Linked DNA regions of Canis lupus familiaris. The protein of the gene in region 1 interacts with the protein of each later gene in a pairwise test. Links are inferred from orthologs where the notes say so. Each region holds a gene or a part of one and is shown in the gene's direction. Other genes may lie near its edges.

What was found.
Region 2: the proteins of OSGIN1 (region 1) and BCAR3 interact in binary tests that used the Homo sapiens proteins (3 or more experiments, as listed by UniProt). The link is inferred for Canis lupus familiaris from reciprocal best matches to the Homo sapiens genes OSGIN1 and BCAR3.
Region 3: the proteins of OSGIN1 (region 1) and CAPN3 interact in binary tests that used the Homo sapiens proteins (3 or more experiments, as listed by UniProt). The two-hybrid records come from large-scale screens. The link is inferred for Canis lupus familiaris from reciprocal best matches to the Homo sapiens genes OSGIN1 and CAPN3.

What each region holds. Positions count from the first base shown.
Region 1 is NC_049226.1:68,855,971-68,859,616, reverse strand, and holds part of OSGIN1 (oxidative stress-induced growth inhibitor 1), read left to right. Parts: intron 1-3,180; coding exon 3,181-3,283; intron 3,284-3,646. UniProt on the Homo sapiens protein: Monooxygenase catalytic activity. Involved in regulation of cytokinesis; promotes RHOA activity, probably acting locally at the midbody in late cytokinesis.
Region 2 is NC_049227.1:55,859,727-55,864,150, forward strand, and holds the start of BCAR3 (breast cancer anti-estrogen resistance protein 3), read left to right. Parts: upstream 1-1,573; 5' UTR 1,574-1,654; intron 1,655-4,424. UniProt on the Homo sapiens protein: Acts as an adapter protein downstream of several growth factor receptors to promote cell proliferation, migration, and redistribution of actin fibers.
Region 3 is NC_049251.1:9,664,759-9,668,404, forward strand, and holds part of CAPN3 (calpain-3), read left to right. Parts: intron 1-2; coding exon 3-163; intron 164-1,518; coding exon 1,519-1,688; intron 1,689-2,019; coding exon 2,020-2,031; intron 2,032-2,707; coding exon 2,708-2,916; intron 2,917-3,646. UniProt on the Homo sapiens protein: Calcium-regulated non-lysosomal thiol-protease. Proteolytically cleaves CTBP1 at 'His-409'. Mediates, with UTP25, the proteasome-independent degradation of p53/TP53.

The sequences.
Region 1 (3,646 bases):
GAGCTGATCCCCACGCGGGGGTTACCCCGGGACTGGAATGACTCGCGGTGTGGCTGTGCAGATGCGTGAGACGAAATGCCAAGGGGACAAATGTCAGGTCCTCCTCTGAGTTCAAAAGTCAGTGGCATAGAACCGAGTTGGGGAAACCGAGTCACGGTACATGAGCAAGGCGACAGTGAGGTTCGTCCAGTGGTTGAGTCGGTGGTGCTTTGGGGCTCCTGGCGAGACCGCCACCGGGGTCACCAGCTCTCCCCTGCAGTCCTGGTGATCTGGCTTTTCTGAAGATGTATTTCCATGCGACTGCCCAAAGACTGTGGCCCCCAAAGGTCAGGCCGCAGGCTGGGAGGGGCACTAACATGCTGGGCCCCTCCACAGGCCAGGTGGTTTCCAGGCTCTGTTGATTCAGCTCATCCTCCAGCGGCCGCAGTGAGGCCTCTGGCCCCACTGGACATGCTAGTTGCAGCTAAAGCTCCCCAGGGGTCTGCTGCACCCCAGCCCAGCGAGGTCAGAATCTCTGGGACTGCAGATTCTGGCACCAGGCGATTCCCATGAGCCTCAGGGATGAGAAGCTGCTGGGCCGTCTGCATCCCACACACGAGGCAAGTCAAGCTCAGACGGCTTAAGTCACTTACCCAAAGCCACACAGCTCAGAGTGATGGAGCCAGAGTCCCCATTTGTCTGACTGCTGGGCTGGACCCACTCCACCCCAAACGTAGGGCAGGCACGTTCACTCTCTGGCTATAACTTACCCCCTAGTTTCTAAGGAGAGGAGGGGTGAATCAGGAAGCAGAGAATGTGGCTACAGGATGGGGCTGAGCACCCCTTGCAGACTCGCCCCTGGGGGCCGACTCCACACTGTGCCCGCGTGGCTCCTGACCTCCCCGCTTCTCTCCATGGGAAGAGGGGACCAGGCCTCCTCCAACTTTGACCTGAATTGTATCTGTGGTGACTCCCTGGGTCATGAACCCACACTGGGCCAGTCCCTGGAAGCTCACACCACTGTCCTAGGGCAGCCAGCATGGCTCTGCCACCAGAGTGTGAGTCCCTTCCGCCACCTGATTGGGAAGAGTGGCCTTGGGCAAGTCCCCCCACTTTCTTCATCTGCAAACTGAACTTGTTATTGAAAATATTTGCCTACCCCCTGGTTGTGGGGAGTCAGTGAGATAAGGTGGTGACAACCCTTTGTAAGTGGTGAAGGCAAATATTAGCTTTGGTGTCACGTGCCGGAAGGGCCCGGGCTCCTTGTGCCAGGGCACCTGGTCACAGTCCCACTGTACTGTGTGTGGTGACCTGGGGCTGCATTTTACCAGGACCTCGGCTTCCTCACCTGCAGAGTAGCACCGCGCAGACTCTCCTCACTGGGCCAGCGCACAGATCAAATGCTCCAGTCCCCAAAAAGCTTTACGTGTGGGCACCTCAGAAAGAAGGTGGCCATGGGGGAAGTTAGGCCGTTCTAGTGAGTTCCCCAGGCCGTGCCTCCGTGCTCCAGGCAGGAATGAGACTTTGTTCCTTTGCTCGTTCATTGTCTGCCCTTTCCCTGGAAGCACCCAGACCCTGCAGTCCCAGCCCTGGGTTCAAGCCCCAGTTCTGCAGCTCATGTTGTGTGAGCTGAGGCTCAAGATTGGCCTCTCTGAGCCTTAGCTGTGTGTAAAGAACATTCCGTCTCCATTTGGTCTACAGCCTGGAGGTGTTCAGCCAGTGGCGATACTATGGGAGCCACCACGAAGGAGGAAGGAAGAGAGGGGGTCCAGGAGCAGCCCCTGGGAATCGTCTTAGGATTTTTTGTAGGGAGAGAAAAATGGTTGTTTTGATATGGAGGCACACAGGATCCTTTCAATTCCAGGACCCCCAGGGAAGCACCCTGAGGCCACCATAGCCTCACTTCCACTGGTTCCTCAGCTCCCAAGCACCTGCAGGGAGTTTAGGGGAGCCTGGGGGGCCGGTGGAGGCTGCTGCATCCGAGTTCCTCTTTAGTGCGGGACCCCTCCCTCAGCTGTCACCGCCTTGCAAGTTCAGTGCCCCGATGGCCAAACTGGGCTCAGGAGGGACACACCTCTCCCAAAGCACCCTGCCCCGCTGCTTGCAATGTTCCAGGTGCCCTATCTGTGTCGTTTCCCAGGGACTGAGAGCGTTCCTGGAACACGGCGGGGCTTTCACTGCCGCTGCCGATCCGATCCGGGAATTGGCATGAGCAGTGAGCAGCAGGTGTCCACGTCCAGTGGAAGCTTAACCAGAGCCACATGTGGAAATTTCCCAGCCGCCACGTTAAATACATAAAAAAAAACCAGTAGAAATTAATTTTAATACCTTATTTAACCTAAGACGTCCAAAATATTTTCAGTTTGACACGTAATCCATATAAACATCATTATTCAGATGTCTTACCTTCCTTTTTAGGCACTAACTCCTCAAAATCTAGTGTATTTTTCACTTACAGCTAGATTTGCCAAATACCAGCTGCCCAGGTAACTGAATTTCAGATAAACAATGAAAAAAAAAGTGTGTGGTTTTGTTTTGCTTTTACTATAAGTATATCCTATGTATTGCATGGGACATATTTACACTCAAACTTCTTTCTCAGCTGAAATTCAGGGGCCTGTATGTGTCTGTAATTTTATCTGATACATCTTGCAACCCTAGTTTCAGCACTTCTGCATCCGGAGGCTTACCAGCCACCTTAACTCATGGTGGAAAAGGGGACAGGGCAGGTATGGAAGGATCGAGGCACCCAGGAGAGTCCGAGAGAGCCAGTCACCCAAAGTCAACCTGCAAACACCTGCCTGGTTCCTTCCTTCTCCAGGGCCCCCAGCCACCATCCCTTTGTTGCCTGTGACATATCTGTCTTTGTTTTGATCGAGCTTTTTGGAAGCAACTCAACACATTCTACTTCCCACCATCTCCTGGCTGAAAAACAGGTGACAGGGAAGAAAGTCCACATCTCCAGCCCCATGATTCTCTGTATCAGCAAATTTTCAGGATCCAGAAAAGGGGCCAGGGCCAACAGGAGTGGCAGGGCAGGTCTGGAGGGAGGACAGGCCAGACCCAGAGATGGGAGACCCAGGAGCCCACCTCCTTCTGGGGCTTTCCTCCCTGCACTCCGAGCCTCAGCCTCACCCTCAGTGTGGGCTGAGACACTCCAGGTGTGAGTCTCTGATTCTGAGTTGTCTCTCTCTGCCTCAGTTTACACATCCAAACACACTGGGAAGTTGCAGACCAAAACCCTGGGATGGGGAAGTGGACACAGCCAAGCGGCTGCTGGGGAAAGATGCAGCCTGCACAAGAGGTAGGTCACAGGGAAGCTGCCCTCCCCAGGCTGTCCCTGGGCTCCTGGCGTGCGGAGGGGGGCGGTGCATGTTCAGAGTGTCGGGAATGTTGGAAACAAGGCCACAGCTGGAATAGACAGAGGGCCAAAGAGGTAGGCCACAGCCAAGGTCACACAGTACGCCTCCAAGGGGCTAGACGCCAGCTGGGGAGCTGGGAACCAGAGCAGTGGGCTTCCCCACTGGGTCACATGCCCCCATAGGGCACTGCTCCCAGGACCCCAGGAGAAAAGGATGATGAATGCCAGTTTCCCCTGGGTAGGAGGCAGCAAGGGGCCAGTGCCTGACCGGAACTCACCCAGCCCATAGGGCTGAGCCCGGAACCC
Region 2 (4,424 bases), on another chromosome or scaffold:
AGGACCAAGGGTCTCATTTCCCCAGATCCTAGGAGTGGTGGCTTCTCCCAGACATTGCTTGCCTCTGAAGAGAACTACCTTCCCACGGGGTCCCCCACATCCATGACTGGTTAATACAGGTGCTGCGGGTCTGGCTCCCTGGCGTCAGTGGTAGACAGTTCTAAAAGGCCGTGCCAGCGTCAGGGCTCCTGGATAGGCTGAGGCCTCTGTGACAACCACCTCTCAGTTTCTCTCTCCCCCTGTCCAATCCCTACCTCTCTTATAACCCTGCAGGCATCATTTCTGAGAGAATTCTCCAATAAACTACCTGTATGCAAATCTCTGCTTTTGAAGCTGTTTTTTGGGGAAGTTGACCTATAACAGATCTATACCATTGGTTATATAGGGCTGCTAATGCAAATTACCATAAACTGAGTGGCTTAAAACAGTAGAAATTTATTCTCTCTCATTTCTGGAGGCCAGAAGTTCACAATCTAGGTGTCAGCAGGGCCACACTCCCTACAGAGGCTCTTGGGGAGAATCTTTTCTTTTGTTTCTGGTGGCTGCCTGACTCCAGTCTCTACCTCCTGTCTTCACATGCCTATCTACCCATGTCTATTTAGCTCTTTTCTCCTCTTCTAAGGACTTAGCATTGGTTTCAGGGCCCACACTAATCCAGGATAGGCACCTCTTGAGATCCATAACTTAATTACATCTACAAAGACCCTTTTTCCAAATAATGATAGTATCTAAAGGTTCTGGGTGGGCACAACTTTTGGGAGACCACACTCAAACCACTACACACACTCAAATATTAAAAATGTTATACCCTAGGATGGGAACTTATCTATAGATTATTTAAATTTTCTTCTTTGTACTTTTTTATTTCAAATTTTGTACAGTGAATGTGTATTACTTTTGCAAGAGTAATTGTTTCTTAAGTTGGTAGTTTGACCTAGAGTGTACAGTCTGAATTAAAATGTATCTGCTCTCTGAATAGAGGGTAAGAGTTGGTGGACCACAGATATGCTGAAATACTGTCCCATTATAAAACTCTTAGACTCTGAATTCTTTTTTTTTTTAAGATTTATTTATTTGAGGGAGAGAGAGAGCACATGAGCAAGGGGGAAGAGCAGAGGGAGAAAATCTCTAGCTGCCTCCCCACTGAGCCAATGCAAGGCTTGATCTCACATCCCTTAAGATCATAACTTGAGTCAAAATCATGAGTCAGGGGCACCTGGGTGGCTCAGATGGTTGAACATCTGCCTTTGGCTCAGGTTGTGGTCTCCGGGTCCTGGGATCGAGCCCCACATGGGGCTCCCAGCTCAGCGGGGAGTCTGCTTCTCCTTCTCTCTCTGCCTCCTGGCCCCACTCGTGTGCTCTCTCTCTCTCTCTCAAATGAATAAATAAAAATCTTAAAAAAAAAAATTGTGAGTCGGATGCCTGGCCGACCATGCCACTCAGGTGCCCCTAGATCCTGAATTCTTAAATGAAGTATAATTTTGAAGACATTGCTAGGCTTACAGGAAGTATGGTGACTAAGTTCTCTTCCAACCTTTTCTCCCCAGAATATGGAAGATGAATCCAAAATTGCATCCAGGAGTAAAAGTCGACCTGTGAATAAGTGTCAATATGGGAGCCAGTCTGGGCATGGGAGCCTTGGTCCAGTAGCAAGGTAAGATGGCCACATTGAACCCAAGAAACTCTTAAGGGGCTTAAATGGTCCCAGATTAATAGCATCACTCTGAATCTAGACAGAAACAAATACAAATTATCTACTTGCCTCATCCCCCAAAATAAATTCTTAACAGATTGAAGAATTAAATGTAAAAGCAAAACTTTAAAACTTTTAGAAAAAATACTGGAGAATCTATTTATGAGTTCTGGGGGGGGGAAAGCATCCTTAAATAAGACATAGTACTAATCCTAAAAGAAAAGATTAATGAATGAAACTACATTAAAATTATTATACCATAGGGACACATGGATGGCTCAGTGGTTGAGAGTCTGCCTTTGGCTCCAGGGGTGATCCTGGGGTTCTAGGATTGAGTCCCACATCAGGCTCCCCAGAGGGAGTCTGCTTCTCCCTCTGTCTGTGTCTCTGCCTCTTTCTCTCTCTGTGTCTCATGAATAAATAAATAAAATCTTTAAAAAAATAAAATTATTACACCATAAAGAAAATTAAAAGACAAACTCCAAACTGGGAGAAATGCATATAATCACAAAGGATTGGTTTCCAGAATATATAAAGGATTCCTATAAGTCTAAAAGAAAAAGACAAACAATCCAAGGGGTTAAATGAGCAAGAGACAAAACAGGCATTTCACACACAGAGAAAAAAAAAAAAAAAACCCACACAAATGTTTGGTAAACACATGGGAAGATTCTCAGCTTCATCAACAAAGGAAATACAGGGCAGGCCGGGCCATTTTAAGAGCATCACAGGCCCAACTTATGCTTATTTTTGGAGGCTTCATCTAATATTTCACATACCATAATGCAACCATATCCCACATTCAGCCCATTTACTCAATATGTATTTTTTGAGTACCTACCAGGTGCCAGGAAATGTTCTGTGCACTTGGAACATATTGGTGAACAATATTCACCAATATTGGTGAACAAGTGTGGTTAAAGTCTCTACGCTCATGGAGCTTACATCAGGTGGGACGTAGATAGCAAGCATGAACAGGTAGCTATATGTTGTAGTGTTGCTAGGAGGCAATGAGTGTCATGGGATAGAGAGGAAGAGTCATGTGGGGGGAGAAGAGGGTGGTAGGATAGAAAGCTGGGGGCTGGTATTTAAACAAGGTAGGTCTCATAGTGTCTCCCTTGCTCGTCAGTTCCCTTGAGCCCTTCAGGATGTTGCTTTCTGGGGTATTGGCTAATAGCAGCTTGGAGGGCTTGCTCCTCTCAGAGATATTTGCAGGTGGGATGTGGGGAGACATTCTTGAGAACACCTCCAGCCCCAGCAGGAGGTACCCTCCAGTACAGAAGGCAGGTCAGGGGTAGAAGAGACACTCCAGTGGAGTATGTGAGGCAGAGGGGACCTTCTATCTCTTTTCTGCCATCCTCTCCTACAGCTCATCCCAGAATAGGGGCCACCTCTCAAAAAATCCATTAGGAAAAACTTTTCAGAGGAGAGTGTCCATCCTCTGCCACTGGAGCTGGGGGGCAGGAGGGGCTTTGGGGTTGCTCATACTGGATAACCAATTATGTAGATGCAGCCTCACCATGCCAGCAGGAAGCATGAAATGTGATGGCTTGATGCTCCTTCTTGGACAAGGAAGAATTGAAGGCAGCTCTCTGAATTCTGCAGGCTCTGCTTACAGGTACAAGTTGGATGGGGGTCTATCTCCTGGGAGTTTCTAAATAATCCAACAAACAAGGTCTCCCGCAGGTATATTGGCCTGTAGTTAGTGTTGGCCAAGTGGAAGCAGCCTAGAAGGTGCTATTGGCCAGTAATGGACACAGACCTCAGAAGACCACTTACGATGAGACCGTTGGGATGACAATTCTTTCCTGTAGGCCCCCAGCCATCAGCAGCTGGCATCTTAACTCAAGGGGCCCCCTACTCTCCTTTCTAGGGCTTCTCTTATGTCTCACTTTGCCTGATATCCCCAAGCACTGTCCGAGCCCCAATGGGATCAATCTCTCGCCCTTGTTAATCATTTTATTGCCACCCAATTGGTTTGCCCAAAGCCCCTTTTGCCCTGGACAGAGAGCCGGCCCTTTTTTCTAGGTCTGCAGGGACAGAGGCCCTGCCGTGAAGTCCCTAGAGGGAGGTAGCCAAGTGGCTTCTTTTTCACACTGGAATGCAACTTCCCTTTCCAATTAGAGACCACACAGGATGAAAAATGTGAGCAAGGCAGCCTTTCCAGCATGAAAACCCACCAGCCTTTACCAGGAAGAGCAATCGGGGGGCCTGCCTTCCAGTCCCACCTGTTTAAAACTCCCAGCCTCCTTCACTGGCTATCATGTAGGCCTCATTTTCCTTTACCTACCCCCAGTCCAAAATTGAGATTCTATCTCTGGGACAGGTTGTTTCTCTGGGCATGTCCAGTCCCCACAGTCCACCTCCCAAGGCTTGTTTTCTTTTGGCTTGTGTGGCAGAGAAAGATGTCTCAGGCTTTTGAGACAAAAATAAAATTCAAACAAACTAAAACCAAGCAGGAAATCCACATCCTTTGTTAAAGATAGGCGCTCCTCCCTGGGACCCTGGGCAGGAGGTTAACGAAAGGCCCGCGAAGGCCTGAAAGGAACAAAGGTCTCAGCTACAACAGTGGAGCCATATGCATTCCTGATCCCAGGGCAGGGACCAGGGGCCACCCCACACATCACTTCCTGGCCATGCCGAGGGCCCGGGCCCAGTGGCCTTCCCCTACGGGAATGGAGAAGGTCTGTCACCACCTGAGGTGTCCCTTCACCTCCCTCTTGATGGGGCA
Region 3 (3,646 bases), on another chromosome or scaffold:
AGGATGTCCTACGATGACTTCATCTACCATTTCACAAAACTGGAGATCTGCAACCTCACGGCCGATGCCCTGGAGTCCGACAAGCTGCAGTCGTGGACGGTGTCTGTGAACGAGGGCCGCTGGGTGAGGGGCTGCTCTGCCGGAGGCTGCCGCAACTTCCCAGGTGGGAGAGGTTCAGGGTGCGGGAGGGTCCAAGCAGAGCAAGTTCTGAGTGGAACTGAGTCTGTGCTAAGTTCCAGGTGTATCTTCTCGTATGAAACCCTCCCCATTTTACCGAGAAGGAAATGGCCACGCTGAGGAGTGTGCAGTAGGGGGCTGGTGACAACTTTTAAGCAGGATACTGTGTCAGAATGATACTGTGTCCATAATGCTGAGGATGGAACTGGAAACAGCAGCGACTGCAAGGGTGTGAGCCAGAGAGGATGAAAGCCAGAGCCAGTCGTGAGCATCGGAGATGGAGGGAAGGGGGCAGATTTAGGTGACAGAATATTGGGTGAAGTCCCTGAAGAATGACTTCAAGTTTGAGGGGGCCTGAGTGGATGGGGTCAATGTCGCAATATAAGACACAGGAGGAAAACTCTGTGTTGTTTTTCAGTGGAGTTGGTCATGGGCTTGTGGGGAGGGGAGTTGAATTTGGGACATAGGAAGTTTGAGGCACCTGTAGAATATCCAAGTGAAGTTGTGTCGTAGAGAATTGGGTGCACAGATTAGAATGGTACTTGGTTGTATGATTAGAACTCAGTATATGTTTGTGGAAGAGAGAATGGAAAGAAGAGAAGAAGGAGGGAAGGAAGGAAGGAAGGAAGGAAGGAAGGAAGGAAGGAAGGAAGGAAGGAAGGAAGGAAGGAAGGAAAGAAGGAAGGAAAGAAGGAAGGAAAGAAGGAAGGAAAGAAGGAAGGAAAGAAGGAAGGAAAATAGAAGGGAGAGAGGAAGAGAAGGAGGGAGGGAGGGAGTCAAATGAAAATGAGGGCTGGGATCTTTATCTCAGGCATCATCAGTGTGCAGGAATGGTTAAAAAGTGGATAAGACAGCCTCGGGGGGGCAGAGTAGTGGGGTGTGAGAGAGGCCTAAGAGCAAATCCCAGGCACTCAACGGCAGAGAATGAGAATCCCAGGTCAGAGAGAAAGGAGGAGCCATCCAGCTCGCAGTGGGGCTCCGTCTGTATAAAGGTATAGGCTATGCCCTGCTCCCCCCACATAATTTGACAAAGGCCTGAATCATTCCTTCTGTATTTTTTTTAAGTTTTCTTTATTTATTCATGAGAGACACAGAAACAGGCAGAGGGAGAAGCAGGCTCCTCACTGGGAGCCTGATGTGGGACTCGATCCTGGATCCTGAGATCACGCCCTGAGCTGAAGGCAGAAGCTTAAACACTGAGCCACCCAGGCATCCCATTCCTTCTGTATTTATTGAGCACCTAGATGCAGGAGATAGATCGGCTGCTTCTGTCTTATTTCTCTTCCTGCCCTTTCTCTGAGAGGCAGATCTGAATGTACATTTCCTTCCTGGGGGGCACAGACACTTTCTGGACCAACCCACAGTATCGCCTGAAACTCCTGGAGGAGGACGACGACCCTGACGACTCCGAGGTGATCTGCAGCTTCCTGGTGGCCCTAATGCAGAAGAACCGGCGGAAGGACCGCAAGCTGGGGGCCAACCTCTTCACCATTGGCTTTGCCATCTACGAGGTGTGCAGTTCCTAATGGTTGTCAGCCCAAGAAACACCCACATTCCTCAGCGGGGAGGGTCTCGGAGGGCTTCCCCAATACTCAGTGACCCCCAGAACTCCTGGTATCAGGTCCACTTGAGGCAGAATCTCTTAGATATTTTTAACAAGTAGGAAAAAACCAGGATGGGGGAGGTGGAGTGGGGCTGGGGCTGGCCAGATAGGTAGATGGGAAATCAGACTTCTGCATTCACCCCACAGTTGCTAGCATTCCCTTCCTGCAAGTTTTTCATCTCGGTTCAGATGTGAAATCCACAGGATCTGAGCATCTTTGTTTTCTGTTTCTCTTCAAGGTTCCCAAAGAGGTATAGAAGTGGCAGCGGCCAGCAGTGTGTGCAGCATTGCCCAGGGGTCCTGTGCCCATCAGTGGCACATCGGGAAGCTTCCTGGTGGGGTTTGAGGGCAGGACTGTGACGGGGGAAGGGGTCTTGCCTGTCACAAACTCCAGAGAGTACCTCAGGGTACTGCATGACCTCCCGACTATCACTGTCCCGGTGTGCCCTTTCCTCCTTCCCACCAGAGATGGTCACACACATGCTCTCATGAATTCCTATTCACTTCTGCTCACACACTTACTCAGATTCATATGCTCTTGCACTCACAATTTACACACTCACACACACATTCTGAGGGTGACTGGAGGAATCACCTCCCTCAAACTCCAGCCAAGGCCCCTCCTGCCTCCTTGGGGTTCTTCCCCAACCTGGAGGTGATTTGGAGCTGACCAGCAGCAGTTCTGGTAAGTGGGGGAATGATAGACTTGACCTTCACTTTTGAATCACAACAGAAAAGGAGGAGGAAATGGGGTCGGGAGCTCCAGGGATATTGAGCTATTTGAGGCCTTGGGACTCGGAAGTAGGTAGGTCATGACTGTGAACTGGGTGGCCAGGGATTCGGGAGGAGACCCCTGGAGGGGCTGTTGTGAGCAGGACGGGACATCCTTGTCAGGGAGCTCAGTCCCTTGGCCCTTCTCTCCCTCAGATGCATGGAAACAAGCAGCATCTGCAGAAGGACTTCTTCCTGTACAACGCCTCCAAGGCCAGGAGCAAAACCTACATCAACATGCGAGAGGTGTCTGAGCGCTTCCGCCTGCCTCCCAGCGAGTATGTCATTGTGCCCTCCACCTATGAGCCCCACCAGGAGGGAGAATTCATCCTCCGGGTCTTCTCTGAAAAGAGGAACCTCTCTGAGTGAGTCAGCCCCACTTTCCCCACTTGTCCCTAAAAGCCCTTGCGGCCCATCCCAGAGATTGGAGACATGAGGTAGCTGGACCAGTCCCCTCCAGGAGTCCTAGGATATGCTGACCAGCTGCCCCTCTTCCTCTGCTCCTGAGCCACTGGCCACATCTCCTCCATTCATTTAGACAGTCTGTCATCCCACAGATATTTATTGAGCACCTACTATGTTCCAGGTGCTCTTCTTCTAGGCACTGAGGACAGGGCAGTGAAATAAACAGAAATCCCTGCCCTCATGGAGCTTATCATTCTGGCGTGAGACAAGGATACATGGAGGAAAAATACACATATGTATGTTAGAGGGTGATAAGTGATAAGAAGAAAGGAAGAAAGAAAATAGGGAACAGGGATAGGAAGCATTGGGGGGGTGATAGAACTTTTAGGTAACGTGGCCAGGGAAGCCAGCAAGGCCATATTCTGCATTTTTGGTTACTGTAGATGAGTTCAGAAGCCCAACTACTCTGAACTCTGTCCCTGAAAGAAACACAAGGTGCATGGGTCTGACTTTGGGGAGCTCTGGGCAAAGCCAACAAGAACCCATGTGTGTGTCCTTGGCTGCTGGGGATGCTGCCCACATGGGCGGGTTCTGTGGTAGGAGATATTAGTTCCTGGGGTTCCTTTGAGCTCCGTCTGGACTCAGTTCTGAGAAGCTGTGTGACCTGAGCAGATCCGCTCTGTGCTTCCT